Linked DNA regions of Arabidopsis thaliana. The protein of the gene in region 2 purifies or fractionates together with the protein of the main gene of each other region. This does not show direct contact. Each region holds a gene or a part of one and is shown on either strand. Other genes may lie near its edges. The genes, in order: MPPBETA, SRT2, AT5G19760 and ATP3.

Evidence for each region.
Region 1: the proteins of SRT2 (region 2) and MPPBETA purify together in Arabidopsis thaliana (affinity purification with mass spectrometry, with the first as the bait; one study listed by BioGRID). This does not show direct contact.
Region 3: the proteins of SRT2 (region 2) and AT5G19760 purify together in Arabidopsis thaliana (affinity purification with mass spectrometry, with the first as the bait; one study listed by BioGRID). This does not show direct contact.
Region 4: the proteins of SRT2 (region 2) and ATP3 purify together in Arabidopsis thaliana (affinity purification with mass spectrometry, with the first as the bait; one study listed by BioGRID). This does not show direct contact.

Annotation. Positions count from the first base shown.
Region 1 is NC_003074.8:362,478-370,641, forward strand, and holds MPPBETA (Insulinase (Peptidase family M16) protein), read left to right. Parts: upstream 1-3,071; 5' UTR 3,072-3,146; coding exon 3,147-3,818; intron 3,819-4,310; coding exon 4,311-4,475; intron 4,476-4,565; coding exon 4,566-4,703; intron 4,704-4,782; coding exon 4,783-4,934; intron 4,935-5,026; coding exon 5,027-5,135; intron 5,136-5,261; coding exon 5,262-5,360; intron 5,361-5,525; coding exon 5,526-5,591; intron 5,592-5,742; coding exon 5,743-5,854; intron 5,855-5,962; coding exon 5,963-6,057; 3' UTR 6,058-6,362; downstream 6,363-8,164. Other genes in the region: AT3G02070 (Cysteine proteinases superfamily protein), read left to right, coding at 1-20, 268-352, 469-525, 609-655; AT3G02080 (Ribosomal protein S19e family protein), read right to left, coding at 1,661-1,733, 1,838-2,021, 2,107-2,197, 2,601-2,684; AT3G02100 (UDP-Glycosyltransferase superfamily protein), read right to left, coding at 6,363-6,810, 6,909-7,332, 7,485-8,007. UniProt on the Arabidopsis thaliana protein: Catalytic subunit of the essential mitochondrial processing protease (MPP), which cleaves the mitochondrial sequence off newly imported precursors proteins. Preferentially, cleaves after an arginine at position P2.
Region 2 is NC_003076.8:2,868,205-2,875,685, reverse strand, and holds SRT2 (sirtuin 2), read right to left. Parts: upstream 4,279-7,481; 5' UTR 4,128-4,278; coding exon 4,126-4,127; exon of another isoform or gene 4,039-4,125; coding exon 3,995-4,038; intron 3,868-3,994; coding exon 3,630-3,867; intron 3,548-3,629; coding exon 3,482-3,547; intron 3,382-3,481; coding exon 3,336-3,381; coding exon of another isoform or gene 3,325-3,335; intron 3,227-3,324; coding exon 3,066-3,226; intron 2,990-3,065; coding exon 2,860-2,989; intron 2,781-2,859; coding exon 2,616-2,780; intron 2,543-2,615; coding exon 2,415-2,542; coding exon of another isoform or gene 2,411-2,414; exon of another isoform or gene 2,343-2,410; coding exon 2,243-2,342; intron 2,124-2,242; coding exon 2,073-2,123; 3' UTR 1,907-2,072; downstream 1-1,906. Other genes in the region: KIWI (ssDNA-binding transcriptional regulator), read left to right, coding at 82-200; AT5G09240 (ssDNA-binding transcriptional regulator), read left to right, coding at 906-1,037, 1,151-1,262, 1,621-1,793; AT5G09225 (uncharacterized protein), read left to right, coding at 5,307-5,429, 6,047-6,130; AAP2 (amino acid permease 2), read right to left, coding at 6,823-7,479. UniProt on the Arabidopsis thaliana protein: NAD-dependent protein deacylase. Catalyzes the NAD-dependent hydrolysis of acyl groups from lysine residues.
Region 3 is NC_003076.8:6,677,351-6,685,071, reverse strand, and holds AT5G19760 (Mitochondrial substrate carrier family protein), read left to right. Parts: upstream 1-3,017; 5' UTR 3,018-3,226; coding exon 3,227-3,343; intron 3,344-3,747; coding exon 3,748-3,831; intron 3,832-4,076; coding exon 4,077-4,138; intron 4,139-4,242; coding exon 4,243-4,604; intron 4,605-5,111; coding exon 5,112-5,326; intron 5,327-5,424; coding exon 5,425-5,481; 3' UTR 5,482-5,766; downstream 5,767-7,721. Other genes in the region: TUA3 (tubulin alpha-3), read left to right, coding at 598-710, 793-1,007, 1,085-1,284, 1,396-1,904, 1,996-2,311; AT5G19750 (Peroxisomal membrane 22 kDa (Mpv17/PMP22) family protein), read right to left, coding at 5,945-6,025, 6,328-6,414, 6,525-6,617, 6,708-6,780, 6,936-7,030, 7,307-7,394, 7,599-7,721. UniProt on the Arabidopsis thaliana protein: Catalyzes the transport of dicarboxylates, such as oxoglutarate, oxaloacetate, malate, and succinate, and of tricarboxylates, such as citrate, isocitrate, cis-aconitate, and trans-aconitate by a counter-exchange mechanism across the inner mitochondrial membrane.
Region 4 is NC_003071.7:14,017,105-14,024,762, reverse strand, and holds ATP3 (gamma subunit of Mt ATP synthase), read left to right. Parts: upstream 1-3,577; 5' UTR 3,578-3,715; coding exon 3,716-3,813; intron 3,814-4,214; coding exon 4,215-4,258; intron 4,259-4,369; coding exon 4,370-4,522; intron 4,523-4,721; coding exon 4,722-4,835; intron 4,836-4,917; coding exon 4,918-5,045; intron 5,046-5,156; coding exon 5,157-5,279; intron 5,280-5,378; coding exon 5,379-5,498; intron 5,499-5,587; coding exon 5,588-5,785; 3' UTR 5,786-6,153; downstream 6,154-7,658. Other genes in the region: RLP26 (receptor like protein 26), read right to left, coding at 491-2,893; RLP25 (receptor like protein 25), read left to right, coding at 6,423-7,079.

The DNA.
Region 1 (8,164 bases), on a different chromosome or scaffold from region 2:
TACAAGCTGCGGCAGATAGGGTAAGTTTCCTTAAATAATGATCTTTGCTTTGTTCTCATATCACCTGATGGCTATTATAGTTCTCAAGAAGACAAAATTGTGATTCTTTTCCATTTGGATGTTTACATAACATAGATTAACACTTCACATTTCCTGAGAGGCCATGTAACTTAACCACATACAGACTAGGACTAGTGCTTATGAGAAATAGCCAGTAATTTTCCTTTCTTTTCTAACAAAATTTCCTTTGCATCTCCCTTTGTGCAGTTTGCAGCAAAGATATGCTTGCTGACATCCTTTAGAGACACTTGTTTCATTGAAATTATACCTCAATACCAAGCACCTAAGGGTGGTGAGACTACAAAAAAAAAGTTTCCTTTCACTTTCGCATATCGCTTTTTGATATGAAGTGACATCTGACAAATACAGTTTTACAAGTTGTGACTCTTTATGTTTGCTATTGTGCAGTGTTATGGTTAAGTTTCTGGTCAGAGGTGCATTATAACTCTTTATACGATATTCAAGGTTTGTTTTGTCCTTTGGAAATGTAACGAAATGGTGGCTTTGTGCTTGATGACACTGATTATGATCTTCCTTTTTGAGTGTAGCTGCTCCAGTTCAGCATAAGCCAAAGAGAAAACATTGGTTGTTCTAGAAGGCACGCCACCATACATGTATTATATTAAGACCCTTCAACTATTTTTCAGTCAGTTTGTGATAAGTCTACCGTCTCATACGCGAAAACTCTTCCTTTACACCTCTGTATACTACTTACGAACTCGCTTGAGCTGTAACATTTTAAAGCCGAATATGATATAGTCGGACCGAGACAAAGAAAATATGACAGTTTCCATAACCTTAGTGGAGAATCTCTTGAATTTGATGGGCCCTTTTTAAAGCTTATCAGAAGCAATAAGGGAAGTTTTTGGTTGGTATGAAACCTGGATTTCCATGAATTATCCAGTCCAAAATCATATTATCCATATAAGATTCAGTTTTGTCCTTTTGTCCTTCGAAATTTCTTCTTGTGCATTTGAAAGATGAACTGTTTATCTCCCGCAGACCATGTCGTTATACGAACTACAACACTGTCTACTTTCATGTTAGTATCATGATTCATGAGAGTTTTGGATGGACTACTTCAAAGTCCAATGTACGTTGGGACTGGCTACATCTTCCGCCGAGAGCAACAGAGAGCATCATTGCTAGTTTGGAATAAGAAAGGTCGAGGCTATCTCTAAGGAAACCAAAAGCTAGCTATGATATTGAAGAAAGATGACATCTCTTTGCCTATGAATGGAGAGAATACAACAAAGAATATAATGTGATGAAGATATCTAATCTTTGCTTCTCTTCTCTCAAAGAAATTTCGGTTAAAAGTGAAGCATAAAAGTGAGATTAGTGGCACTAAAGAAGGATGAAATTAGCAATTTAGGGATGAAGAAACCATATCCTATTATCCTTAAATCGGACGAACACAAAAATACGGTTGAAGACATAAGTTTCAATGTCCAAAGCCATCGCCAAAAAGATAAATTTTTGAACATTATGAGCGCAAGTCTTGAGAATGAAATGGTAACAATTCTTAAAAGTAAAGATAAACACTAAAAGCACAATGGCCTCAAAAGTAGAAGAAGAACAAAAAAGAACATTAAGATCTTCAAGGTTCAACTGCAATACGGCCAGCAACCTGGTCCAAATCCCTTTGGCCACTGGAAGTGATCCTTCTTCCTCTGAAAGAAGAACAAAAGTGATACTAGTATTAGCATAAAAACATTTTTAAAGAGAAACACCTCTAACGTAGTAGTAGTAGTAGTAGTAGTAGTAGTAATGTTACCCTTTGGTGTCGAGCTCAACAATGTTCATTGTCTCCAGCTGTTGGAGGATGTGACGGGCAATACCACCACTGCTTTTGCAAAAGTGAGGTGGGCGACTACCGTTCCTCTTGCTTCCACCATAGATTCTACGGAAAGCACCAACACCAAGTCCTCCCCTCAGGTAAACCTTCCTTGCCATAGATGCTGCACAAGAAGTCATTTTGCTAATTGAAAACTTTATAAACGCATAGAGATAATAAGAGACAAACTAGGATGAAAGAGAACTAACCAGCTCTGATGTAGTACCAATCAGGATCATATGGTGCAAGCTCCTTCAACTTTCCGGTCTTCACAATGTCTGTCCATGTGGGAAGCTCGATCTGAAACAAACAATTATGGTCTCGTGAAAACCAAAACAATTGTAAAAAGTGGAGCTTGACATTCAAGCTATTGTAATTGCTAGTGTAAATTAATTCAACAGACGTAACAAAGCAAATCACAATATTAATCCCAAGCATTTGAATCTTAAGCTGTCTATTAACAAATACTAAGAGTAACACTTGTGATTCAATAAATATTAGCAACATATACAAAATTTCAATACATTCAACAGACATTACACAATTCAAAGTATTATAGAGAAATGCCAACAATCAACAGAAATATCTATGAACTAATGGAAATCATTGCAATTTGAGCTTAATCCATCTTTATTCGAGTACATACAAATAAAGCTTGGAACATTTCTACTCAAACAAAAAAGAAGAGACTTTATCCACTAACCTTGCCAGATCGCTTGAGATGAGAAGCATAAGCCTTGACGAAGTCATGAGGCGAGACGTCTTTCACAGTTTTACCAGTTGCCATGGCTCAAGTTATCAAAAGACTAATCACTGATCTTCGTCTGGGATTTTGCCCAACGCAGCTGAATCTCTCTCCGCAAAGACTAGGGTTTTTATTCTCCAATAACAAAACTTATATATACGGCCACGATATTTCGATTAGGGTTTTCTCCCCATATCCGGGTCAAAAAATCCAACCCGTTCTCAGCCCACACTAATGGGCCTAATTCTTCATACGGCCTTACTATCTAACCAGTATGAATAATGTTCTTTGATACGATAATGCGCCTACTACGGCCTTATTATATCAGTTGACTAGTATTATGTCCTAAACGACACCGTTCTTAATTAGTAACATTAAATGACGTCGTTTTATAATCGCTTAACCACTGGCTATTAGTTCGCATCTCAAGTCGTCTCTGCCATTTTTGGCTTTTTAATCAAACCCTAGAGAGATTGAGAGAGCGAAGAGAAGCCATCATCAGCCATGGCGATGAAGAATCTACTGTCCCTAGCTCGCCGATCTCAGAGGCGTTTATTCCTCACTCAAGCCACACGATCTTCCTCTTCGTTTTCAGCTATCGATTCGGTGCCGGCTTCCGCATCTCCGACGGCTCTATCTCCACCGCCGCCGCATCTTATGCCATACGACCACGCGGCTGAGATTATAAAAAATAAGATCAAGAAGCTCGAGAATCCTGATAAGAGGTTCCTTAAATACGCATCTCCACATCCGATCCTCGCTTCCCACAATCACATCTTGTCAGCTCCGGAGACTCGTGTCACTACCTTGCCCAATGGTCTACGAGTCGCTACTGAGTCAAATCTCTCGGCTAAGACCGCCACCGTTGGAGTCTGGATCGACGCTGGATCTCGGTTTGAGTCCGATGAGACCAACGGAACGGCTCATTTTTTGGAGCATATGATATTCAAAGGCACGGATAGGCGTACAGTGAGAGCGTTGGAGGAAGAGATCGAAGATATTGGTGGTCACCTGAACGCGTATACATCGAGGGAACAGACCACTTATTATGCTAAGGTTTTGGATTCCAATGTGAACCAGGCTTTGGATGTCTTGGCTGATATCCTACAGAATTCTAAGTTCGAGGAACAGAGAATTAACCGCGAACGAGATGTCATCCTCAGGGAAATGCAAGAGGTATGTATTTGTTATCTCTGTACTTAAAAAACTAAACTTTTTGTTCTGTCCTCGATTTATCTTTCGTTTTTTTTTAGTGAGGTGGTACTATGGACCGTAGTTTGTGTTTTTTTAGATCAATACCCTTAGTTTCAGTTTCCCGTGTGCCTGCCTAAAAATGAAAACTTTAGTATGTTCTTAAGTTATCTTCCCTTTTTTTAAGGTTGTATTGGCATAAGCACATGTTCTATAGAGAGATGTTATTGTGTTTATATAAACCATTGCTCTAAAAATGAAAACTTTGTTCTGTTTTTGGATTATCTCTCGCATGTTTTGGTTTTATTGGCTTAGTCATATGTTGGTCGTATTGTTGTTGGGAAATGTGCATGAAGGGAGATACTAGAGCGCTTGGTACTCTGCTCTACGTGTTGGTTAGAGTTATTTGTTTCTTTAATCAGTTAAAGATAGAATACACATTAAGCTTTAGTTTTTTGATAATTGGTTTGGTCGTAGGTGGAGGGACAAACCGATGAAGTGGTTCTTGACCATTTACATGCCACTGCATTCCAATACACACCCCTTGGAAGAACTATTTTGGGACCTGCTCAGAACGTCAAATCGATCACCAGAGAGGATCTACAGAACTACATTAAGACTCACTACACTGCTTCCAGGATGGTATAGATTTTGGTTACTTCTTATCATTTCCTACAATCACTTATTGAATTTTTTAGGATTCTTATCTTGGTTCATCCAAAACATTTTCAGGTGATTGCTGCTGCAGGAGCTGTTAAGCATGAGGAAGTTGTTGAGCAAGTGAAGAAGCTATTTACCAAGTTGTCGTCTGATCCAACAACTACTTCTCAACTGGTTGCCAATGAACCTGCTAGTTTTACTGGTTCTGAGGTAAGGACACAACCATATGATTTTGTTATATGCAATGTTCCATCTTTCTAAATTCTTTAGTCCGTGAAATTCTTCTCAGGTCCGAATGATTGATGACGACCTACCCCTTGCACAATTTGCTGTTGCCTTTGAGGGAGCATCTTGGACTGATCCAGATTCCGTTGCTCTTATGGTTATGCAAACTATGTTGGGTTCGTGGAACAAAAATGTTGGTGGTGGAAAACACGTGGGGTGAGTTTACTCTCTGGCTAATATTTCTAATGATGGATTTAATGAAAAGCTATTTCGCAATGTGTTGATGAACATTATGGTTCTATGTGCAGTTCTGACCTGACCCAGAGGGTTGCCATTAATGAAATAGCAGAAAGCATAATGGCATTCAACACTAACTACAAGGATACTGGACTGTTCGGCGTTTATGCAGTTGCCAAGGTCAACCCAGAACTCCATAGCTATCTTAGTTTCATCTCTTTCTTGTATTTGTCAATATTAGCAGTTTCATCTCATGAATGCCTCGTATTATATCTCTTTTAACATCTTGTAAGGTACTTTTTTCAGGCCGATTGCTTGGATGATTTATCATATGCCATTATGTATGAGGTAACCAAGCTGGCCTACCGAGTTTCAGACGCTGATGTGACACGTGCACGAAATCAGGTAAACGCCCAACTGTTCTTTCTCTCTTTCCCAAGATTCAGCTTTAAGCTAGTTACAAATGTGATCTGTTTAAAGTTTTTTTTTTCTTTTCCTCCTGTTTCTTCGAACTCCTTACTTATTTGTAGATAGATTTTAAATGCCAACTGATTTTAAATTTCTCTGCAGCTGAAATCATCATTGTTACTTCACATGGATGGAACCAGCCCAATTGCTGAAGATATTGGTCGTCAGGTATGCGATGAATCATTTAAGCATCTTAATTTAGAACTTATAAGTTTATAAATGCATTGGTCAAAGATAACAAACCTTGACTTTCCTTATAGTTGGTGTTTATCTTCAAAATCATTCTAATAAAACGCCTGGATTTTTGTTCTAAATGCAGCTGCTGACCTATGGGCGTAGAATCCCAACCGCTGAACTCTTTGCTAGGATCGATGCTGTTGATGCCAGCACGGTAAAACGTGTTGCCAACAAATATATCTATGACAAAGTAAGTTCTATTTCTCTCTCCCTCTTGCTCTCTCTATCCTCCAAGGATTAGACTGCTAAACAAGAGTACAAACGTCAAGAGTGATTAAGGTGATTTTTGGGATTATGTGCAGGACATTGCAATCTCAGCTATTGGTCCAATCCAAGATTTGCCAGACTACAACAAATTCAGACGCAGAACCTACTGGAACCGGTACTAAGGCTCTGAAATAAAGGTCACTGAATCGCAAGGTTCGCCCACGGGGAGATTCCGTAGGCGGAGAGAGCAGAACGAGGTGATGATGGATTCATTATTTTTGAGTTTTTCTTACTGTATCTTCATAATTTACCATCATCGCTGGTAAAATAAGTGTACCATTTACTCTTTGTCCTCTACTGGAAAAATGCTAGAGATCCTCTGTGTGTGTTTTTTTTGTTCTCTTCATAATTTTCCCATACACATACTAATAAGTTCTTTGATGTTTGGTTGAAAACTTGAATTGGATACATTTCATTTCTTCTTGTGAAACTCTATCAATTCACTTGTGATTTGATCCAGTTGACAAATTTATTAAGATTCTCACAAGATATTCCATCTTTTGCAACACTTTTCATCACAATCTCTTTAACCTTCATAGCTCGTTCTTCATACTCTCCACCGTCTCTCATGATCTCATCGATCTTCTTCTTAACCTCTAACCTCGGAACCACTCCTCGTGCGTCTCTTTCAAGTCCTAATCCAATCTTCCACACATCGCATATATATGCTTTGTTGATAAATTGGTCTGCAAAATAAGGGATGCATAGAAATGGTATGCCATTTTGGGCTCCTTCCAGAGTTGAATTCCATCCACAATGGCTCACAAAACACCCAATGGCTCCAGAAGAAAGGACCTCCCGTTGTGGAGCCCATCTCACCACTTTGACTCGATCCGACCCAAGTTTGATTGGTTGTTGATCACCAGTGACCCACAAAACTGGCCTGGTGAATGGATCAACATAACTTATTACATAATAGACACGCATAGAGTAAGTAGGGTAAACCGGAACACACAAACCCGGTTATGTCCAAATCATTACCTCTTGGTAAGCTCTAGACCAATTGCTAGCTCTTCTAACTGAGGGTTGCCCATGACCCCAAAACTCCCAAAGGCAACATATATAACCGAACCGGGAATCTGCCGGTCCAACCAATCTAGACAATCCCGGTCATGAGGTAAAAAGCTTCCTAGTGACGTGGATCCCTCTTCAAGACTATGAGCCCAACCAATGGGCCCAATTGGTACTATATTCGGGCCCAATCCAAATGCTGCAGTTTCAAGTTCATGGACAGAGTTACACAACAACCAATCCGTTGACTCGATCGAGTTATTGTTTTGAAGCATAAGTTGGAATATGTTTTTCTGAGATTCTTTGTTCTTCAGACAAACCCACACAAACTTGTCTGTTTCCATCTTTGGCATCCCGGGAGATAGTTGAATTGTCTTATTTACTCTCACAGTCCCTACATAAAGAAACAATAGCTATATAACGCATCTTTTTCAAAATTCTTCTACCAATGAATCATCAAATAAAATAAAACATGACCATTTTCCAAAAACATCACTTAATATGATACTATTAAATTTTGAAACAAAAGGTTATATTTGTTCTTACCATCAGAATCTATGAGACCATCATCGATAAGTTTTTGAATACTAAATCCAAGAACCATAGACGCAGCTGCAGCAGGACAAAACGCGGTGCGTCTGATCCCAAACTTAGCTGCAACTTCAATTGCCCATCCCAAGCTCTGATCCGCTACAACGCAGCTAATGATCGTACCACCGCTAGTTTCTGCCATCATCCTCTCGATCAATTCCTCTACTTTTTTAGGCATAAAACGCAAAACAGACTCCGACAACTTCCCTGGAATGTTCCTCTCTTCTGGTGAATCTTCTAAACCGTCAGGGATTGAAACAAGATTGATCTGATCCCCAACATAATCTTCATGAGGTGAATTGGGTAAGGAACTGATGATGCGGTTATGGTTAAACTCGGTGTTTATGAATGTAATTTGGATTCCTTGTTTCGCAAGGTAACGTGAGAAACTTATTAGAGGAAGAACATGACCTTGTGCAGGGTAAGGTATGACCACAACATGTGGCCTTCCCATTCTTTTATTTGAGTTATTATCCATATGTATTTTGAGTTATTGTCTATATATACATAAAAATTCATTCATTTATAGGAAAATTTACAAGATTAAGACGGAATGACTCGACAACTAATTCTAATTGATTTTGTCGTTTTTCTTTAGGAATCAAGACAAGTTTGATCCCAAGTTTGACTTGTGT
Region 2 (7,481 bases):
TCTAGAGACAGCTATATTAGTTTATCTCTACATAACTAATCATGTTGACAAGATTATCTCTATGTTTGTTATACGTTGCAGGTATCTCTCTAAGCGTGGATCAGGTACTCACATCTCTTTCTATCTCTCTCCACTGTTTTATGTCTCCTAGAAGTGTTTCTGTTTTCTTGTTATTTGCTTATTACACAGCTTTTCCTTAATGCAGTGGAACACTCTTCGGAACCACGCAGAGGATATCGAGAAGGCCCTCTCTGACCTTTCTTAGGTTTTAAAACTTGTATCATTGGTTGTACGTCTATTAGAATATGGCTCAGTTGTTTTGGTTGTTTTTGTAGAACAACACCATGTTCTGCTAGTGTAAGCTGCTTCAAATTAGTTGGTGTATGGAATCTTTCACTTTTGGTTCAGACAAGCTTTGGTTGGTATTAAGAATATAATGATTGCTCTTTTATTTACTGCTGTAGTGCTGTTTTATTTGCAAATTAAGATACGTTGCAGGAATACAAGTATTCATTTGATAAGTTATAAACAAGATAGGTCTAAATGTTACATAGCTCTTGCCAAACTTCACTTGATCCGGACAAGGCCATAAGCAGACATTGTCTTTGAAGATGAACCCATCACAATAAATGTATCACTCTGTGTTGCTACTTTCATTGCTATAGTTGCTCTTTTCCAAAGAATATTTACCTTCCCAAAAAACTCCCCCGTTTTAAGTTTGGCCGCGCGTGTTCTCAAACTGTGCGCTTGTAAAATGGCGTTCCGAATCTGATATCACAGTTGTAATTCGGTGAACGCAGTAGATATATTACGCGAGAAAAGGAGAGAGGTGCTTTTTATTTAACTTGAGAATCTCAAGAGTCAATTTTTGCAGTAGAAGAGTGTTTTTTTTAGAGGTTAAGAAAATGTCTGAGAACGGAAAAAGGAAAGACGAGGATGTCAGAGCATCAGACGACCGCGACGAATCTGAGACCCACGCGCCGCCTAAGAAAGTGGCAAAGCCAGCGGACGAGATTGAGGACATCTTCATCTGCAATGTTAGTCTCTCTACTATTCATCTCTTTTTTGTCTGTAGCAGTTCGTATGAGTTTTAGGGTTTGGATCAAGTTGTGATATTTGTTTATGATGTTATGTTTTGTTTACATTCCAGTTAGATAAGAATCGGAGAGTCTTTGTGAGGAATTGCAATGGGAGGATTTGGATTGCCATTCGTCAGTTCTTTGTCAAGGACGGTATAACTTTACCTTGTAATAGCAAGCAAGGTAAATTTTTGTTTTTAACTACATATCTTCTTTTGACTGTCTCTCTTCTTCTCACAATTCCACATTTGCTAATACTCTGTATCCTCCTCTCTTTTCTTTTTTATGGTCAACAATGTATCCTCATCCCTTTGTTTTCATGTTTTGTTTCGTTAAGGTTCTGCATTTAGTTAGCAGATCTTAGGGACTTTTATTATATATCTAGTACTTCTGCGGTTTGGGACTGAGAGGAGGAGATGCGCAGAGTGTTTTCTTTTCATCAACAACGTCTTGGTTTTTGTCTCCTAGGGCCAGCTATATTAGTTTGCTTTCTTTGCATAATCATGTTGACAAGATTTTCGATGTCTCCTATATGTTGCAGGTATCTCTCTAAGCCTGGAACAGGTATTCACATCTCTCTTCCATTGTTTATGTCTTCCACACGTGCATATGTCCTGCTTATTACACGAGACCTTTTTCTTAATGCAGTGGAACGATCTTCGGAACCATGAGGAGGATATCGATAAGGCCCTCTCTGAGCTTTCTGAGGTTTAAAAGCTTGTGTAATCGGGTATTGGAAGGTGGCTTTGGTTGTTTTGGTTTGTTTTTCAGAACAACACCATGTTCTGCAAGTGTTAGCTGCTTCGAGTTAGTTCATGTGTTGAATCTATTATTTGATGTTGATTACTCTTTTATTTGATGTTGGATTTACAACTTGAGATACGTTGCAGGAATACAAGCATTCATTTTGATTAGTTATAAATAATATATATAGGTGATCTAAATGATAACATAGCTCTTGCCAAAGTTTACTTAAATGATCCGGACATTGTGCTAGAGAGCTGGGACACTGAGCGATCCCACGTCAAGAACTCTGTGCAATATCTGCAGCAAACCAATCACGAAATGACAAATTATTAAGGCTGACAATCATGAAATAATATGGATATTTAAGGCATTTTCAAGGCTGAAGGAAAGGGAAGAGCTTTATGCTATGCTCATACCTCACCAACCCTAGCATTGATTTTCAATGGAACAATGTCATCAGCTCTTGTTTCGCCTATATTTACAATTGCGGTCATAGCACCAGCCTCATGAGCCGCTCTGCAAAAGGTATATAGAAAGCTTCTTAGTAAGATGCAAACTCAAAACTGGATGATTATTCTCCTGCATCACCTGCAAAGGCGAAAAGCAGACATTGTCATTAAGGATGAACCCAACACGAGGAATGCATCGCTCTGTTTTGCAACTTCCATTGCTTGAGTAGCTCTTTCCTTCGGGATGTTGTCTCCAAAGAAAATTACCTTCAATTCAACGAGAACATAATAAGAAACAGAGCTAAACTGATTCGTCTCTATCTGATTAAGTCAATCTTACATCAGGCTTTAGGACTCCTTTGCACTTCTCACATACTGGTATATGAAAACCCTCTTCCCAAAACTTTTCGTCAATCTCGATATCACCATCAGGCCTTTGTTTCATGCCAAAGCTCTTCTCTGATCCTGGATCTCCATGATCAATACTTTCTATAGCTTCAGCCCACTACAGTTGAAACAAAAACGTTGTAACTTTGCGAGATGATACATTAATCCAGTTTATTCAGGTTATGGTATACACTGGCCTTAGGATTGATTGCTTTTAGCTGATCCTGAAACAAGTCTCGGGGAAAAGAGAAGCCGCACTCTAAGCACATAACAGTATATACTGTGCCATGTAATTCAAGTGGATCGCTCCCAGCACGATGATGCAACCTAACAACTTAGAGCTTAGAGTCAACATTCTTCACATCCAACAGAGATCCTACGGAAGAGGAACTGAAGGATATACCTGTCAACATTTTGTGTGATCATAAAATTTATTCGTCCAGCTTTTTCTAGTGATGCTAAAGCAGTATGAGCTGGTCCTGGTTGTGCTGCAGTGAACCTCCTCCATCCAGCGTAACTCCTCGCCCAATACCGCCTACGAGCTCGGCTTGATCGAGTAAACTCCTGTGAAGGAGGTTGTAGACAATAGATTAATACAGTTATACAATAGTAAAATGATCCAAGGTTTGCATTAAGAACTGTAAAGATTTCATAGATCTTGCCTTCAGATCACCTGATGGGTAATTGGTTTGAAACCAGAACTGTATGCTCCATTGGGACTGCACCAAATCATCAAATGGAACCACATGTAACCCATGAGACCATCAAAACGAGAATGCAAGGCATCTTCAGACAAGACTAATCGATCAAATGAATTACCTTCTGTAATCCGGAATTCCACATTCTGTGCTAACCCCAGCTCCAGTCAAGATGGTGAGTCTCGAGCTGCCAAAAGAGAAGAGGAAAGCCATTAGATACAACACATGTATGCTCACTGCTGGAAAAAGATGGTGAAGGAAATATCAACCTTTGCTCAAAAAGTCGATACAACTTGTGGATATCTTCCATATTGGGGGGATCAGCATCTGGAACAATCTTTCTATCCCTCAGAAACCTTGGAGGTGCTTTTGATTCATTCCCCAAAGAACCACCAGGGATCGAAACGCGACACGTTGTTCTCACAAACCGTCTGCATCCTTTAAACAACATAACCAAGTTTCCCCCAGACTGCAGCGGCCGGTACATACTTCGCGACGGAAACAAATCTAGAAGAAGGAAAAGAAGAAAAACTCAGCAACATTATTAACTCATTGCATTTGCATAGGTAAGTAATGAATCAAAACAAGCTAGGACACAAAGATGAGGAAGAACATTCATTATTCTCATACTTGCCTGTAGATACACCTCCAAACACTCTTCTCATGTTCATAGAAAGCCTAATAAATCGCAGAGATGAATCTATGATCACAATTTCACTAGCAAAAAAAAGTAATGGAGAAATGAATCTATGATAAGCCAATTACATTCAATGAAGAAGATCTAGCTAGAAAGTATCGTACTACTGAGATCAAAATAAAGCCACCAATCGAGTTTTTCACCGAGAAGCTAACAGATTGAAATTAATACCCAAGAGCATATATAGTAATAAGATTACCTTGAGAGGTCGTTAATGGCGGATGAAACGAGATTTCTTCAGTTTTGCGTTTTATTTTTTTCCAGAATTTTTTGTTGTTGTTGAAGACAAGGTGGCAAAAATCGGACGTCTGAAACTCATTATTGGCTAAGCAAGTAGCCACGTAGCGCAATTATCCACCGTTGAATAGTTCACTAATGCAAACGACGTCGTTATTGGAATAAAACAGAAACCGCATACGTCGATTTTGTTCTCTCTCTGCGGACGAAGCTCTCTCTCTTTAGCTTCGATCTCTCCCTCGCTTCGATCTCTCTCTCGACTGCTACTCCTGGTTAGTTCTCTGTCAAATATTCGTTCATGTGACTCTCGTCGATTTTTGTCTTGATGCAACTTCATCGCTTTGTTCTTCGCTATTCGTTGTTATTGTTGATTCCGCATATGCTTCCTTTGATTTCAGCTTGTAGGTTTGTCCAAATTTCACTTGCTCTGTTCTTATTGTTGTTGCCAACCAAGTGTTTGATGAAATGCCTCACAGAATCAGTGGTTGTTTTTTTTTTGGTAGAGCTTGTAATCACTTGTGCTTTGTTTATTTTTGGATATGTATGCTGCTTGGAGCCACATTAGATTATTCTTGATTCATTGTTTTTATGAACTCTAGTAGTGTTTTTTAACTGATTCTTAATACCTCTATTATCTTGTGTATGAGAAACAAGTTTATTAACTCGATTCTGTACTTTATTGTTCTTTATGATTCCAAAGATTACTTTTGTTTATATCATTCGATTATTTTCTACTTAATGATGTTTTTCAATTTTCTCTACTACAGGAATGTACATTTGTTGATGGAAGTTTCTTCAGAATTGATTTCAAAATCTCTGGTAAGTCACTTGAAGCAAACTGCAATAATAATGTTGAATGGAAACGTTTACTAGGAAAGGCTTTTACTTTGAATTTGATTATGTTTTGAGAAGATAATAGGATTCAACTGAATCAGTATAGTTAATGGTAGTAGTAATTGAGATATATGGACTAAATAATTACAGAGCTGAAGATTCTTGACTTGGAACAAATATGCCTCACAGAACAAGGCCGTTGAAGGGACTCTTGCTTTTCACTGGAATAAACTTTGTGTTGGTGCAGACCATTACTCCAGTCTATGACTTTGTCTGCTTCTTGCCTTACTGGGAGAGAAGGGTATGTTTTAGATTTTAAACTCTCAAGACTATAATATCAATTTCTGTTTTCGTTATTGTTCCAATGTCTCCAAGTGTGTACTTTAACTTGGAGACAAATACAATGATCACTTCCTGTTTTCATTATGTTTCTGTATCTCCCAAGTGTGTAGATTAACTCATCTGGTTCATGATCATGGTAACTAATTCTGATGCTTTGCTAGGGCAATTTAGCTTACATTTCTTTAAGGGCTCGAACCTCTTTTGTTCTGTGGTTAAATAGGTAGCTATATTGGTTCTCTTCTCGCTTAGATTTTAGATACAAACTAGTTATATTACTAAATACTGAGACTGTTAGCTAACTATTCAGATGATGGAGTCTGTTGTTTCTCAGAAAAATGTCATACAAGTTGCTTGGAGCTAACTATCTTGGCACAGTAGGTTATTTGCATAGGTAGCATGACGTATGCTCTCAGTTTCGACATTGTAAACTAACAAATTGGATCATGTTGCATTACCAAGCACGAAATAACTCTACTGTTATTTTTATTTTTTTCCCTCCGTTTCCTGGCGTCTTGTGTCATTACTGACTAACTTTAGTTTTGTTTGTTTCTCTGTTGTTACATTGAATCTCTACAGAGAGAGCGAATCCGGCAGGAGCGTGAAGCCGCAGCTGCATCCTTAAACTCAACACAAAAAGCTACTCAAGCATCTGTTGGATGATGAACTCTTCTCTACATCTTCTCAGTCTCTTAAATCAGAATTCCTCTTTGTAAGAAACTAGTTACCCTCTGATTACTGAATATCTGAGAAGGCATGTTCACATTTCTGCTCTGAGCTTAGATTCATTGTAGCAAATCTTGAAAGTTTCTGTGGATTTTTCAAACACGTGTTATTAATCGTAGATACTTTCAAAGATTCTGATCATTGCCAAGATCCATGAACCCTACATGTTTTTGATAAGTGAGATAGACTATTAGAAAAAGGAACAACATTATATTATTTTCTTGAAATAGGCTTTTTTGGGTGGACAGCTAAATTATACTTATTTGAGGAGATTCTCTTTCATGCTAAACCATCCAAATTGCTCCTTTATAAATCAAATCATTGAAATGTCAGTGTCTCACTTTGATTCAAATTCCATTTTACCATCACCATGTATATGTCGACACCTAACTCATTCATAATAATCACTTGAACAAGAAACAACCAACACTACAAAGTACAAACTACTATAATTTGATATAGAATTGAAAACACACGGTTTTATAATTTATAACATAAGTTTTAAATTTTATTACAAAGATGAGACCATACGAAATGAGAACAACATACAATATACACATTTTTGGAGTTTTCTTTGAAATGGTAAACTTTACACACCAACTCTCTCTGTTGTTCATGGTCCATAATCATCAATATGTAGACTTGAATGGCTTATAGACCTTAAGATCAAGCATCACTCCGGCGATTGATCCAACCCCGGCGACCACCGAGATCACAAGACAAGCAACACTAAGCATCTGTAAACACACCCATCTCGTGCTCCATTTCTCAACCTTCCTCTGCTTAATATACATCTCCACCGGAAAATAAACCGTCAAGGGCCAAAACCCTAACGCCCCTAAGATCCCGACCACGTCGTTAAAAAACGGCATCAGCATCGATATCACGGTGGTTGTAACGACAAAGCCACTCCTGTAAACCATCCTGAAAACGTTTACTTTGTAAGGAGACTTAAATCCGGGGATTCTGATTTCAAATTCCTTGCTGAGGAAGTCATTGTCTGGATATCTCTCTGCGACTGATTTTTCAATAAAGGCAAAGATGGGCTGAGCAAAGACTTGGTAAGCTCCAACGAGGTGGACAACAATGGCGGCGTTAGCTATGTCAAGGAGCCAAAACGGGTTGTAGAATCCAAAACCGGTGAGGAGGTTTCCCGGTGCTGCATCTCCAAAAGCGGCATAACCCATTGAGCCACATAGCATGTAGAAGATAGTTGTGACGGCAATACTGATTTTTGTTGCTTTCTTCATCGTTTTCGATTCCGCCGGTGGGGATCTTACAGTATCCT
Region 3 (7,721 bases), 3.8 Mb from region 2:
TGCAAATTTTTATTCTCCTACTTATGTCATTAAAAGGATTATACGGGGTTATCTCAGAACTTGTGATTTCAAATCTTGAAAACACGTTTTACGTAGTCAATATTTATGTAAGTTAATTAATAAATAAATGCACTAAGAGAATCAAAATCTTATAACAAAGACAACCTTACATGACGTTTCTTTTCTGTTTGGCGCTTACAAAAACATCCTACTATAACCAATAGTTATTTAAACCACTAAACCCTAATTTAACCTATAATATCGATTTAGGTCGGTTAAGCTATTATTTACCTCACTCATACTAACGAAATACCTAAATTCCGGTAAGTTATTTAAACCGGATAAAAATCGACACCTTCCAGATCTAGATCCAGATCGAATCTCACGTATTTTGTCTATGCCCAGTCCCAAAGGCAGGCTGTCACAACTTGGCGGACCCCAACCAATTATCAAATCTCATTCAATAAATAATCAATTTCCCACAAAAATCATGGAAATTAGGAAAAAAAGAAGATCTCGCTCACCGCTCTCATTTCCTCAATTCTCCGTCCGTCGAAGAAGCGAATCGCTCGAAATTAGGGTTTCTACTGAGAGAAGATGCGAGAAATCATAAGCATTCACATCGGACAAGCTGGGATCCAGGTCGGAAATTCGTGTTGGGAGCTTTACTGTCTCGAACATGGAATCCAGCCGGACGGAATGATGCCGAGGTATAAACCCTAATTCACTCTTTGTACTCTGTTTCTGTGGATCGGAAGATTTTTGAGATACGAGTCTTTTGCGTTGTTGCAGTGATACTACAGTTGGTGTTGCACACGATGCGTTCAATACTTTCTTTAGCGAGACTGGTGCTGGGAAGCATGTCCCTAGGGCTGTCTTCGTTGATCTCGAGCCTACCGTTATCGACGAAGTTCGTACTGGTACTTACCGTCAACTTTTCCATCCAGAGCAGCTCATTTCTGGGAAAGAAGATGCTGCTAACAACTTCGCTAGAGGACATTACACTGGTGAGAATCCACTTTCTGCTTGTTCTAACTTGTTAGGGTTTTTGAAATGGTCCTTAGAATGCTTCTTGTAATTGCAGTTGGGAAGGAAATTGTGGATCTATGTCTTGACCGTGTGAGGAAACTTGCCGACAACTGTACTGGCTTACAAGGGTTTTTGGTGTTCAATGCTGTTGGTGGTGGAACTGGTTCTGGATTGGGTTCTCTGTTGCTAGAGCGTTTGTCTGTAGATTATGGAAAGAAGTCTAAGCTTGGTTTTACCATATACCCTTCTCCTCAGGTACTCTTTCTTTTGCTAGACACTGAAGTAGAAACTCTTACATGACATGTTTCTATAGTGGTCTAATTTGGATGAAACTTGGTTTTAATGCATATTCCTCTGTGATGTCAGGTTTCTACTGCTGTTGTAGAACCTTACAACAGTGTTCTCTCAACGCATTCCCTTCTTGAACATACGGATGTAGCTGTCCTCTTGGATAACGAAGCCATCTATGACATTTGCCGCAGATCCCTAGATATCGAGAGGCCAACCTACACAAACTTGAACAGGTTGATATCACAGATCATTTCATCCTTGACAACATCTTTGAGGTTTGATGGTGCCATCAACGTGGATATCACTGAGTTCCAGACCAATCTTGTCCCATATCCCCGTATCCATTTCATGCTGTCATCTTATGCACCAGTCATCTCAGCCGCCAAGGCTTACCACGAGCAGCTATCAGTCCCTGAGATCACCAATGCCGTTTTTGAGCCAGCTAGCATGATGGCAAAGTGTGACCCGAGACACGGAAAGTACATGGCCTGTTGTTTGATGTACCGAGGAGATGTTGTTCCCAAAGATGTTAATGCTGCTGTTGGCACCATCAAGACAAAGAGGACTGTTCAGTTTGTTGACTGGTATGATCTAGAAATGGATAAAGCTGCTACTGTTTCTACCTTCATGTTGTTATTATATAATAACTCCTTTGGCATGGGTTTTGTTTTGCAGGTGCCCAACTGGGTTCAAATGTGGAATCAACTACCAACCTCCAACAGTTGTTCCAGGTGGTGACCTCGCTAAGGTTCAGAGAGCTGTATGTATGATCAGTAACAACACAGCAGTTGCAGAGGTGTTCTCACGGATCGACCACAAGTTTGATCTCATGTATGCGAAGAGGGCATTTGTCCACTGGTACGTTGGTGAAGGAATGGAGGAAGGTGAATTCTCTGAGGCACGTGAAGACTTGGCCGCACTGGAGAAAGATTACGAAGAAGTTGGTGCTGAAGGTGGAGACGATGAAGAAGATGAAGGTGAAGACTATTGACACCTTTTCTCAAAAAAACTGCAACCAAAAAAAGTTTTTTCGTTTATCTGTTTTCACTTTTGATTCTGTTGATTGTTTAAATCCTGTAAAATATTCGTTCGGTCTTCGTGTTTTATCTCGGTTGGATACATTTTCATTGGTAGAGCGACCATTGCGAGTTCCCGAGTTCATTATCAAGCTTTTGTTGTACCAAACTTTGATAATCTTCTTACAACTGTCCATTTTTCCTTGAAGTATAATCTCGTCTATCGGTGCGCTAACGTTTATCAACGTTCTGTATATGCTTTGTTGTCGTATCAGCTAATAATACATTTATGAGATTCAACTAATGTTAACAAACCACGTTGATCTTCACAAAAGGGCATCAGAATTATCAAATTGCATCAGAAATACTGCTCCACTGGTCCACTATCTAAAATACGGCGTGAAAAATGCCAAAAATTATTGAACAAATACAAAATACAAATACAGAAGATCAATTTTTTTAAAAAATTAGAATTTATTGGACCCAAAAAATTCAGAATACTAACGATTTTCAACTTCATACTAGAAAATTAGAAATGGACGAATGTCAAATCTAAAATTCATATGAATGCGTAATAAATAACTCTAAATATTTGGATTGCGTAAAATCCGAATGGTGAAAAGTAAAGTCCAAATTAATAAATTTAGAAAATATGTCTGGCTTAGATCAGATCTCATATGCAAATGGAAAAAAATAAAAATTAAAAAGGCAAGGGTTTGGTGCAATTTAGTTTCAGTTGGGTGGTGTTAATATAAAAGGCCCATAAGCTTCACACTTCATCGTCTCCTCTCCACCAAGTGAATCTCTTTCTCTCTCTCTTTTTCTCCGCGGAAGGAATCTCTTCTTCTGGTTGCGTTTGAGTCCGTACGAAAACAAAAGAAAAGAGAGAGATGGCGGAAGAGAAGAAAGCTCCAATCAGTGTCTGGACTACCGTGAAGCCCTTCGTCAATGGCGGTGCCTCTGGTATGCTCGCTACTTGCGTTATCCAGCCGATCGACATGATTAAGGTCTGTCAAATGTTTACGGATACACGTTTCTGTATCACCCATCTCTATGTCTAAGCTCGTTAGTATTAACAATTCTTGCTTGATTTGCTGGTATTGATACCTACGAAATCCGTAAATGTTGTTCATCAGATCCGAGTCTGTAGATTTTATCTCTCAGATCTGAGTTTTTGTTTTGGCTTATTATAATCAAATTTCATTGCTCGGAACATAGTCAGACTCGTTTGAGTGTGAATTGTTGCTATTGATACATGTTTAGATGAAATGTTCTAGTTCAGATCTGGATTTTGATTAGAATAACGTTCTTAGGTTCATCACAATGTGTGATTCTTCGCCTGTGTTCATAGGATTTTTAAATGATGTGAATGTAATTAACTAATACTTTGTTTTGTTTCTGGTTGGTGAAGGTGAGGATTCAACTTGGTCAGGGATCTGCAGCCAGTATAACCACCAACATGCTTAAGAATGAGGGCGTTGGTGCCTTCTACAAGGTATAAATTGCATTTCTGGATGCATTACTTATCTTGAAGATGTACGTTTTGTGTAGTATGTTTTCTATTGATATGTTCATGACTTTTGTTGATTTGTAATGTATATGATTTCTGCATTTCCGGATCTGAGTCTCAGCTATTCAAAGAATTAATTTCCTTATCTAACAGTCTTTCCAACAACAACATTAGTTATACCCCATTGAAGATGTCTCCTGAGCTTATTTGATGTTAATTTTTTTTAATAGGGATTATCTGCTGGGTTGCTGAGGCAAGCAACTTACACGACAGCCCGTCTTGGATCATTCAAGTAAGTTAGTCATTCGTCTTTCGTCTTGAGCCCATCCAGATGAATAGATTTTTATTGCCTTATGGTTATGGATAAATCATCCTCTCTTCTGTCAATCTTATTAGGTTGCTGACTGCAAAGGCAATTGAGTCTAATGATGGAAAGCCTCTACCGCTGTATCAGAAGGCACTATGTGGTCTGACAGCTGGTGCTATTGGTGCTTGCGTCGGTAGTCCAGCCGATCTAGCACTTATCAGAATGCAGGCCGATAATACTTTGCCGCTAGCTCAGCGCAGGAATTATACCAATGCTTTCCATGCGCTTACCCGTATTAGCGCTGATGAGGGAGTTTTAGCACTTTGGAAAGGGTGTGGGCCCACTGTGGTCAGAGCTATGGCTTTGAACATGGGAATGCTTGCATCTTATGATCAAAGTGCTGAATACATGAGAGATAATCTTGGTTTCGGGGAGATGTCTACGGTCGTAGGTAAGCTGCTCTTCCAAGTTTCTCATACAGTAAGAATATATTTTTTCTGTGAGCAGGTAGATAGCAGTTAGAGTCAAGGATCCTAAGAATCAATCGTCTTGGAAATTTACATTTGTAGCATATAATCTCCTGATTACACGAGTGTTAGATTGTCATAAATTAAATGTGTATTTCACTTAATACAATCTATCCAAGAACTACACCAAGGAAAATACTTTATTAATGAGAGGACTCTCTAAACTCTCAACCGTTGCCCAAACCCAGATCTAAGACCAATCCAGAATGGATCCCATTGCGTTGTCCTTACTCCCTTTTAAGAGCTACTAATTGTAAGGTCGCTCAGTTGGCAAAACTACACTTTTCTCAACTTCCTAGGCTTGTTACACTAGTTCTGCACTAGACTTAACAAGAAACCTTTATCAGTATTTTCATATGGTCATGTAATCTCTGTATGATAAATTGTAGTTAAAATAGATCTCTGAGTTTGGTTTTTGTTTACTTTAACAGGAGCAAGTGCTGTTTCTGGGTTCTGCGCTGCGGCTTGCAGTCTGCCATTTGACTTTGTCAAAACTCAGATTCAGAAAATGCAACCGGATGCTCAAGGAAAGTATCCATACACAGGTTCGCTCGATTGTGCGATGAAAACCTTAAAAGAAGGAGGACCTCTGAAATTTTACTCGGGTTTCCCAGTTTACTGTGTCAGGATTGCCCCTCACGTCATGGTATAATAGCTCTTATCTCCCTTTTTTGTTTATGTTATTGTAATTACCACTTCGTGATTGCCTCTAAGATAGTTGTTGATCGGGTTTTCTTTTGGCAGATGACATGGATCTTCCTAAACCAGATTACGAAATTTCAAAAGAAGATTGGTATGTGAGGAACAAATACAGCAGCAAAAAAATAAGATGAGAAGAACGAAAACACAATTGGAATTGTGTTCATTTGCTTTTTAATCATATACATAACCTGCCTTAAAAGCATATTATTGTAGCTGTTTGAACTTTAATTTTTTGTTTCGGTCGGTGATTGGTCCGGTGAATTTTAAATTTTCTTCTTTGGTGGAAGTTTAAGACACATAGCCAGAGATTTCAAAATTTTCATACGAACTAAAAAAATTCTCTGAATGAGGAAACAATAAATATATGAAACATTGATGATGGGGAAATATTTGAAGTGCTTGAAGAAAAGCTTGTTTCAACTCTAAGAAAATGTCAAGTGCAGGGTTCCCAAATAATTGTTTCGAAACACCAAACATTTGCATCAGCAGACAAGACCGTTTCCCCAAAACTCTGCCGATAACAATCCAGCAACCACCTCTAGGCTCCAGGTAAGAAACATGTCTACTTTGCAACAACTTCTTTGTGAGCTTTGAATGATAAAATCACATTCCAAGCCAAAGCCACTACGTTTGAAGCAAGTACCTGCAATAATTCATATATAAGACATCGATTCATCCTCAAAGCCAAAGAAAATCTTGCTAAGCATACTAGCTAGAAGCTAATGTCATTCAAGCGTAATTCATCTCAAGCTCATCATGTCAAAGATGTTTTTAACAAGGGCTCAAAAACATGAAAATGCGTAATAAATTCTCAAAGATTATACTAAGCAGAGGATTAACAGCGTGTGGGTCGTTATTCGTTATGTATGAAGCATATCTATCTTAACCCAATTGTATTTTTTTTCAGACTCCCGTTTCATGTAGTCACAGAGTTTAGTATCAAACCTGGTAGTTCTGTGGAACAAATCTGAAGTTAAGAAACTGAAATGGTATCCATAGCTGCCAATTTGCTATCATTGCACCAGTCCACTCCTATACAACCAGCAATTCATGGATTCAATTAGAACACCGCAAAAGATACAAAGTATCAAATTTAGATTCCTGCACCGGAAATATTAAGTTTAGTTAGGTTTTAATCCAACCTGTTGTAGCTTCGGTATGACATTTGATGGTTTTCCTTCAAGTGTCACAACTGCTGATAAGAAAACTCCAACAAAAATAGGAGCAAAAACAAACTGCAAATACAAATTTTGGTGTTAAGTGCTAACACAGAGGAAGCAAGATGGGAACATAATTGTTAGACTGGGAACAGGAAACTTTGCTACCTGATCCAGTAGAAGTCGTATAACTGCGCCTGATAATCCAGAAGCTGTCACCACTTTGCTCAAATACAAATACCTAATGGATGGAGTTGAGAGATTTCAGAGAACAGAGAATAAGCATAAGTAATATACCAATGGATGCATAAGTCTCTTCAACTGAAGAACCACTAGCAGAGACGTAATATAGTTAGCTTTTGCGGTGTCATACGAGTGAAAGGTCCACGGAAATACCAGAAATGCAATGTTGGACCGACTAGCCCTAAGCCCAAGAAGGTAAAGGTGAGTGTCCTCTTCTTGTCCAGCGATGAGGTCTTGTTGATAGTAAGCTGCAACCAAAAGTGATACGAATAAGCAATGTCGCTCACATATCTAGCAGAATACGATCAAGCATTATAAAGAAAATGGGGCTTTACTACATTATCCTGTATTTTGGGTCTATTAGCTTCCATTCTAACTTTAAAAAAGAGATAGCACAATTCAAGTTAAAGTCTGTCTGTTCAGAAATACATAATGCAGCAGCTCATGAATACTGTTTTATCTCGATATATCCTGAATAGTGAAGAATCCAAACTTCAAAGATAGCACAAAAATGAGAGAGTTACCTGACAGATCAAATCTCCAACGAGGTTCAAAAGTGCTGCGGTCACAGCTTTGGTCAAAACAGGAGAGTTTGAGAGAAGAGCCTGGTACCTGAAGCACCATAGAAAAAGGCACACAAAGTGTGTTTATGCTCAAGTCAAAAGCAAAGAATCATACTAGAAAAAAAGTGTTCCGTGAGTAAATTATTAACACATCCAAGAAAAATTTCCAACATCTGCTTCAATGAATTGCTTTTCAAAGAAACATCTTTACACAAGAACAGGAGTAGTGACAGGAGCAAGTAAGAAAAATTACCATGAGAGAAGTGACCACTTCTTTCCTTTTCCGTCGCTTCCATCACCACCACCGCCGCCGGAACCACCACCACCACCGCCTGAACCACCTAACCCGCCAGAGCCACCTGAATTCCCACCTGGG
Region 4 (7,658 bases), on a different chromosome or scaffold from region 2:
TTTTAGGGTCATTGATAGCTCTCTGTTTGTATTGTGCATACTTTCTTTCTCTGTTATCTGAGAATATTAGTTCAAAGTGTAAGAAGATTGTTATATTTAGTAAGCCCTCTCATGATATTTTTTTTTTTTTAATTCACATCAAACTGATTTGTTTCATCAGTTGTAAGTGGTAACATTTACTTTTAGAAAAAAGAGATCTCGTCAATGTATGGTCTGAGATTGATCTTATACTCTTATGTTCACTTCATCTAGTTTGTCTTAACAGGAAGTTGAAACAGCGGGCTTTCGTGCATTACAAATCATCGGCTCGGGTTACTTGAAGAATCAGAGAAGAACCGAAGCAGTATGTCATAAGCGCCTCTATCTCAACAATCTACCATGACATTATCATCCAATAGAGAGATCGTAATTAAGGGAACCAAGAGTTACAGAAACTAGTCAACTTCTTTCTTACATCAGGTAACAACAACATATCCACATACTATTATTTTCATATCACTTCTTCTTCTACAGTATCCTTATTATTAAAACTGTCCCATCTTGAATCCAGATTCATAAACAATCTAACTGGATCTACTTGCTTGCCCTTAGCTGGACCAAGTATCTTGACAAACCACTTCGGCTTGAATGAAGCAATAACGTGTGCCATTACCAATCCAAGTAACAGTCCAGGCCAATACCCGAAAAACACTGCTTTCCACTCAATCACTTCGTCCTCTTCTTCTTCTTCGTCTTCTTCCTTGGGATATTTTGTTGGTGGCGCAACGCAACTTCCTTGGAGAGGAAGACCACAGAGACCTACATTCCCTTCAAATGATGATTCAGCTTGCCCACTAAACTGTGGTCCCTGTGGTATTTCACCTTTGAGTTGGTTATGAGCTACACTTATGTACGCCAGAAATGAGAGGCTCCCGAGTTCTCTTGGAATATTCCCTGATAGTTGATTTCTTGACAGGTCTAGTGACTCGAGCTCCGTAACATTTGCCAAAGACATAGGAATATGGCCAGTGAAGGCGTTGTTCGATAAGTTGAGCGCTATCAATTCCTTCAACAGACCAATAGACTCAGGAATCTGTCCTTCAAGTTTGTTTCCAGAGAAATCAATGGTGCTGTAGAAAGTAAGGACTTTCCCCTGCTCCATGAATAGACCTTTGTATTGCAAATCCATTGTATCTTCATAGATATAATAAGCATTCTTGTAGTCTCCCATATAAATACGCCCATCTTCATTTATCTTGGGTGATGATGCTTTCCAGTTAACAAAGAAATTTGGTGGCAAGCTTCCAGTAAAGCTGTTATCTGACAATTCAAGTATCCGCAGCTCGGGAAACGCGAGAGGACCTCGATCAGGAGGAGAGAGATGGCCGAAGAATCTGTTTGAACGGAGAGTCAAGACATGCAAATTGGGTAGCGCCTTCAGCCAGAAAGGAAACGTGTCTTCAATTCTGTTGTTGTCAACACTCAGAAACCTCAGAGAGGAGCAATTCAAAAGTGATTTTGGAAGCTTCCCGGTTAGTCGATTATAGCCAACGTCAAGCGTCTGTGTCTTAGCACCGCTATGGAACTCGTCAGGTATACTTCCTTCCAAGCTGTTCTTCCTGAGGTTTACTACTTTTAAGTTACTCAGACATTGAGGAATTGGACCGGTGAATTTGTTGTAGGATAGATCAAGGACGATGAGAGAGCTTCGGTTGCAGATTGAGAGAGGTATGTTCCCTGTGAAACTATTGTTCCACGCAGACAAGTAGATCGAACCGAGTGGTGGAGTAGGAAACGCTCCTGTCATGGAGTTATAGGCAAAATCTAGTAACTGCACTGATGAGTTAAGTAAAACTTCTGAAGAACCTTCGAAACCAGTCAAAGAATTGTTAACAAGATTTGCTATGCTAAGACGAGGAAGCTTCCAAAACCACTCAGGTACTTTCCCTTTGATTAGATTGTTGGAAATGTCTATATGCTCCAAGTTTTGAAGGGTCTTAAAGATGTTTGGAAACTCGATAATGTCGCACTGGATCAAAATCAAGCTTATTAAGCTCAATGGAAACTCTGAATCTGAACTTAAACTGGCTGGTAATAACCTATTTTGACGAATATCAAAGACCAACAAAGATTTGAGAGGAGCGAAGACGCGTAAGTCAATTGGGTGACTTATGTTTAGGGAAGCAAGTTCAAGATGGTTGAGGTTTATGAGCTTTGAGATAGGCTCTATGATTTTTCCTTCAAATTGGTTAAACCCAAGGGACAAACGAACTAGCTTAGATGAAGAAGAAGAGTTTGGGACATCAATAGAACCAGTGAGATGATTCTTTTTCAGATCAAGATAAGACAAGAAAGGCAAAGTGGGTAGTAAATCAAAAGGTATGGCTCCTGAGAATTGATTGTAAGAAAGGTCTAAAAAGGAAAGCTTTGTTAGGTTTCTTACAGGTGGGAAACTACCAGTGAGCTCATTATGGGAAAGGTTTAAATGGGTAAGCAAGATAAGGTTACTAATTGAGGAAGGAACTTGACCAGTAAAGCTACTAGAGGCAAGAGACAAAACCTCTAATCTGGTGAGATTGCTGAATTCAGAAGGGAGTGAAGAGGAAGTGAAGTTGTTGTGAGAGAGATTAAGGTAACGAAGCTGATGCAACTCAAAGAGACTACTGTTTGGTTTGAGAGTTCCAGTGAAGCAACCACTTGGGAGCTGAAGCTTCGTGACCGCACCAGTCGTGTTATCACACTGGACTCCGTTTAAGTAGTCACTGCGGTTGCAGCCGTCAGATTCAAACTCATTCTTGAATTGGATTAGAGCTTGGATCTGGTCAGGAAGACAAGCAAGAGCGTCGGTCGTCAAGAAGCTTGAAACGAAGACGATACAGTAGAGTAAGAGTAGCGAGCAAAAATGCAAACGCATGGTGTTTGTGATTGAACCAACAAGTTGAGGAAATTATTGAACCCAAAAAAAGACATATCAAAGATTTGCTATATATATGTTATTTTAAGCCGCCTTTACTAAATATGTGGGGTTTAAATGTCACGTGAAATGTCTACGAGTCACATTTGTTCATGAAGTAAATTCCACGTGGACATCTCTGACTATATAACTGGGAGTTATAGTTGACTGTTAAAATTGGCTTCAAAATTTAGCAACAAGAGGAAATCAACACTCAGCAATTTACTCTCATTGGATCAAATGAACGCACATTAATATGACGTAACGATGATGACAATTCTGTTTAATAGTATCTTATTGTTTACAGATACAGAAAAATAAATTAAGTGGGCCTTTCAATAATTAATAGGTTGGTGAAATGTTACCTTCTCTTGATATTTTTTTAATTTTCATTTATTATGAGTATGTTGCGTTATGAAACAACTCGCATTAATTTGGTTATAGATTGGAGAAAGAAGAAGTCATGGTCAAAACTCAAAAATGTAAAAGGAAACAAGACGTGTATGACGACGTGATTGATAATCTGAGGAGATACCTTTGGGCCTTATAAGATGGGCCGAAAAAGTAATAGTATTAGCCTCTATTCGGCCCGATTAATTTCAGGGGAAATTTTGGTAATAAAGTGGAAACGACGTCGTGACAAAACTACTGTGTAGACTGAGAAATAAAGAAGCCCTTGATTTTGCCCATTGCAGTCATCTCTCTCGAATCTCTCTCTATAATCCGATCTGAGAAATTTCGCCGGAGCTAGGTTTTGTTGTTTACCGATCAATCCTTTAATCAATGGCAATGGCTGTTTTCCGTCGCGAAGGGAGGCGTCTCCTCCCTTCAATCGCCGCTCGCCCAATCGCTGCTATCCGATCTCCTCTCTCTTCTGACCAGTGAGATCTCTTTCTCATTCATCTTATCCTTGCGTATAAACACACATTTCGCTGTTCCTCTGTGATGCTTTTCTGAATTTGAAATCGTTTGATTTAATTGAGTCGTTGATGTTTTCATTTCCTTGAAATTCGAATCGACGAAAATTTATGGAAATTGTGTTGTTTGACTCGGGAGCTGCTAATGAGTGAGGTGTTTTTGTTCGTCTATTTGGAGTTTTGAGACTCGGAAATGTCCTGTTAAGCTCGTTTCGTTGAATTTCCTATTGCAAGACCAATTTGATTTTCCTCGTAGAAGAGACTTTGTGATATGTTGTCTAAGCTCGTCAGATTTAATCAGCTTTTACCTGCAAAACTTTGTGATATTTAGGATGATGAGGACTAAACTTGTATTTGATTTGTAGGGAGGAAGGACTTCTTGGAGTTCGATCTATCTCAACTCAAGTGGGTAAGTCAAAGCTGATAATTGGAGATTGGTTTTACCTAGTTAGGATTGTGTTCTAAGAAATCTGTGATGTTCTAATCTTTATGAATTGCTTTACATGTATTCTCTGTGCAGTGCGTAACCGCATGAAGAGTGTTAAGAACATCCAAAAGATCACAAAGGCAATGAAGATGGTTGCTGCTTCCAAGCTTAGAGCAGTTCAAGGCCGAGCTGAGAACTCCCGTGGACTTTGGCAGCCATTTACTGCACTTCTAGGAGATAATCCCAGTATGGTTGGCTATATAGAGTTGTTTTTCTTAATAACTTTGTTCTAGTATCACTCCGGGCTTGCATCGGTATTGAATATTGATGACGACGAACAAATCTGTTGCTCTTACTATAGTCTGAGATATCCATCCTCTTGCTATCTCTTGTTGTTATTGTGGATGTGTTTCTGATTTCTAGCGTTACTTGATGGAAAAACCAGGCATTGATGTAAAGAAGAGTGTGGTGGTCACTCTCTCTTCTGACAAGGGTCTCTGTGGTGGAATCAACTCCACTGTCGTTAAAGTGAGCAGGGCTCTGTACAAATTGAATGCTGGTATGTTTGAAAACACTACGATGGTTCCGTGGTTTAGTTTTCCTGAATTGCATATCCGATATTAATTCTTATATCATTGCAGGTCCTGAAAAGGAAGTTCAGTTTGTTATTGTCGGAGAGAAAGCAAAGGCTATAATGTTTCGTGACTCAAAGAACGACATTGTCCTCTCTGTAACAGAGCTGAATAAGAACCCACTCAATTATGCTCAGGTAGTTCTTAGTTGCTAATAGTTAGGAGCAATAGTTTCTCTCCCCGATCCATTTGTTCTCGAGCTATTTATTGTTGTCTATAGTGTTTCTTATGTTTACTTGCTGCTTCAGGTGTCAGTTCTAGCTGATGACATCCTGAAGAACGTTGAATTTGATGCTTTGCGCATTGTCTACAACAAGTTCCATTCAGTTGTCGCATTTCTGCCAACTGTGTCCACTGTTTTGTCACCTGAGGTAAGTCATAACTGTTGAACGTCTCAATTTGTGCTTAATATTTCACATTCTGCTTTAAGTATAAACTTGATTGTATATGTGTGTGTTTTGCATTGAAAGATTATTGAGAAGGAGTCTGAAATTGGAGGAAAACTTGGCGAGCTTGACTCATATGAGATTGAAGGTGGGGAAACAAAGGGAGAAATATTGCAGAATCTGGCCGAGTTCCAATTCTCTTGTGTAAGTAACCAAGAAAGTTTAACTTGATTTATGGTATTTCAGCATAGAAAGAAACATAACATTTTGGTTGTTTACGTAAATTCTACTAGGTGATGTTCAATGCGGTTCTGGAGAATGCATGTAGTGAGATGGGAGCAAGAATGTCTGCCATGGACAGCTCAAGCAGAAACGCAGGAGAAATGCTCGACCGTCTCACCCTCACATACAACAGGACTCGTCAAGCTTCTATTACAACAGAGCTTATTGAGATTATCTCTGGAGCTTCTGCTCTTGAAGCTGCTAAATAAGCCCATCCGTGTTAGTTCTCTTTTCTTCGCTTTGATATTTACCCCCACCTTGAAGGAGAAGAGTGTGTTAAAATTTTACTGAATCAGTTTCCTTTGCTGGCTTCTTGTTGAGACCTACCAATGTTTGCTCAACGATTTTTAATAAACATACCTGTAATTTCCAGCAGGATTTCGAATAATTGCATTAACATTTTGTTCTGATTCAGACTCGCTTCCTCCAGAGTCTGTAGTGTTGTTTTGTGCAAACACCATGTACTCCGGTTTATTTGATATTTTTTTACCTGAGCCAATATTTTGTCACTTCGCCAGGTTTTGAAGTTTGAAACTTTGAATAATCCCACAAACAAATCTAAACAATATATCCAATGCAGTGTATGTTGTCATGCTAGTGGATTTCTAGAATTTTGGAATTATGTATAAACAATCTGATGTTAGAAAGTTTAAACTGATGTGAATCCAATCATGTGAAACAAATTTTATGGCTCAATATCTCCTCTTGATCGAGGTCCACTAGGGTATCCAGAGCTGCGGATATTTGAGATATCTGGTAATAAATTTACCGGAGGCTTGCCACCAAATTATTATGAGAATTGGAAAGCATCATCACTCACGCTAAAATCAAGAAGGGGGTTTATATATGATATACACTAAGAATGCTTACGGTAGCATTTCTTATACCTATCAAGATTTTATAGATTTAAGATACAAAGGTCTACACATGGAGCAAAAGAGGATTCTTACTTTATACAGCGCTATTGATTTTTCCGGAAACAGACTTGAAGGACAGATTCCTGAATCCATTGGTCTCTTGAAGGCACTGATTGCACTCAACTTATCAAACAACGCTTTCATAGGTAATATTCCCATGTCTATGGCCAATCTTATTGAGCTTGAATCATTAGACATGTCTAGAAACGGACTATCTGGGACTATTCCTCAAGGACTCAAGACCCTCTCGTTTTTGGGGTACATAAATGTGTCCCATAACCAACTCAAGGGTGAAATACCACAAGGAACACAAATCACTGGGCCACCAAAATCCTCATTTGAAGGGAATGCAGGGCTTTGTGGTCTTCCTCTCGAAGAAAGTTGCTTCGGAACGAAAGTGCCACCAATACAACAGTCAAAGAAAGAAGACAACCAAGAGGATGCAAAAGTGTTGAACTGGAAAGCAGTGGCAACAGGGTATGGACCTGGAGTTTTTTTTGGATTGGCAATAGCGCAAATCATTGCTTCATACAAACCGGAGTGGCTCGTCAAGATAATTGGTCCTAATAAGCGTAGAAACCATTAAGATTTGTTAGTGTTTGATTTTTGAATGTATGTCAAATTGTTACTTGTTTTGCGTATGATATTTGAATGTTTGTCAAGTATTCCTTGGTCTTGTGGTGAAGCAGGTTCTCTATGCTTCATTCAGCTTTCCTCTGTATCTTGGAAGAGAAAAATACTAGAGGCCGGGAACGGGAATCACGTTATGGATTTTTTGGTCTCTGACAATAAAAAGTAGAAAATCCAAACTCTTGTTATTGTTATCCCACAGGAGGAAATCCGTTCTTGTTATTTTCATCATTGGATTCTATTTCCGTGTAAAAGTAACTTTTTCCCCTAAAAACAAGCTTCTCTATTTTGTAAACAAAAAAATAAAGAAACAGAGGAAGGAGACGAGAGGGAGAAACAGAGCAACATATGAGATCTGTTTCCTAATGAATAAAATGCATGAGAGAGAGGGACCGAGACTGAGACTGAAGTGTGGCGGTGAGATCATACGGAGCGTAAAAAAAAAACAAGAAAAAGATAGATGTTCCCTTTTCTGTGTTTTCTTGGATCCCAAGTAAATTTTTGATTTCGTTCACACTCTAAGTTCAAATGGATT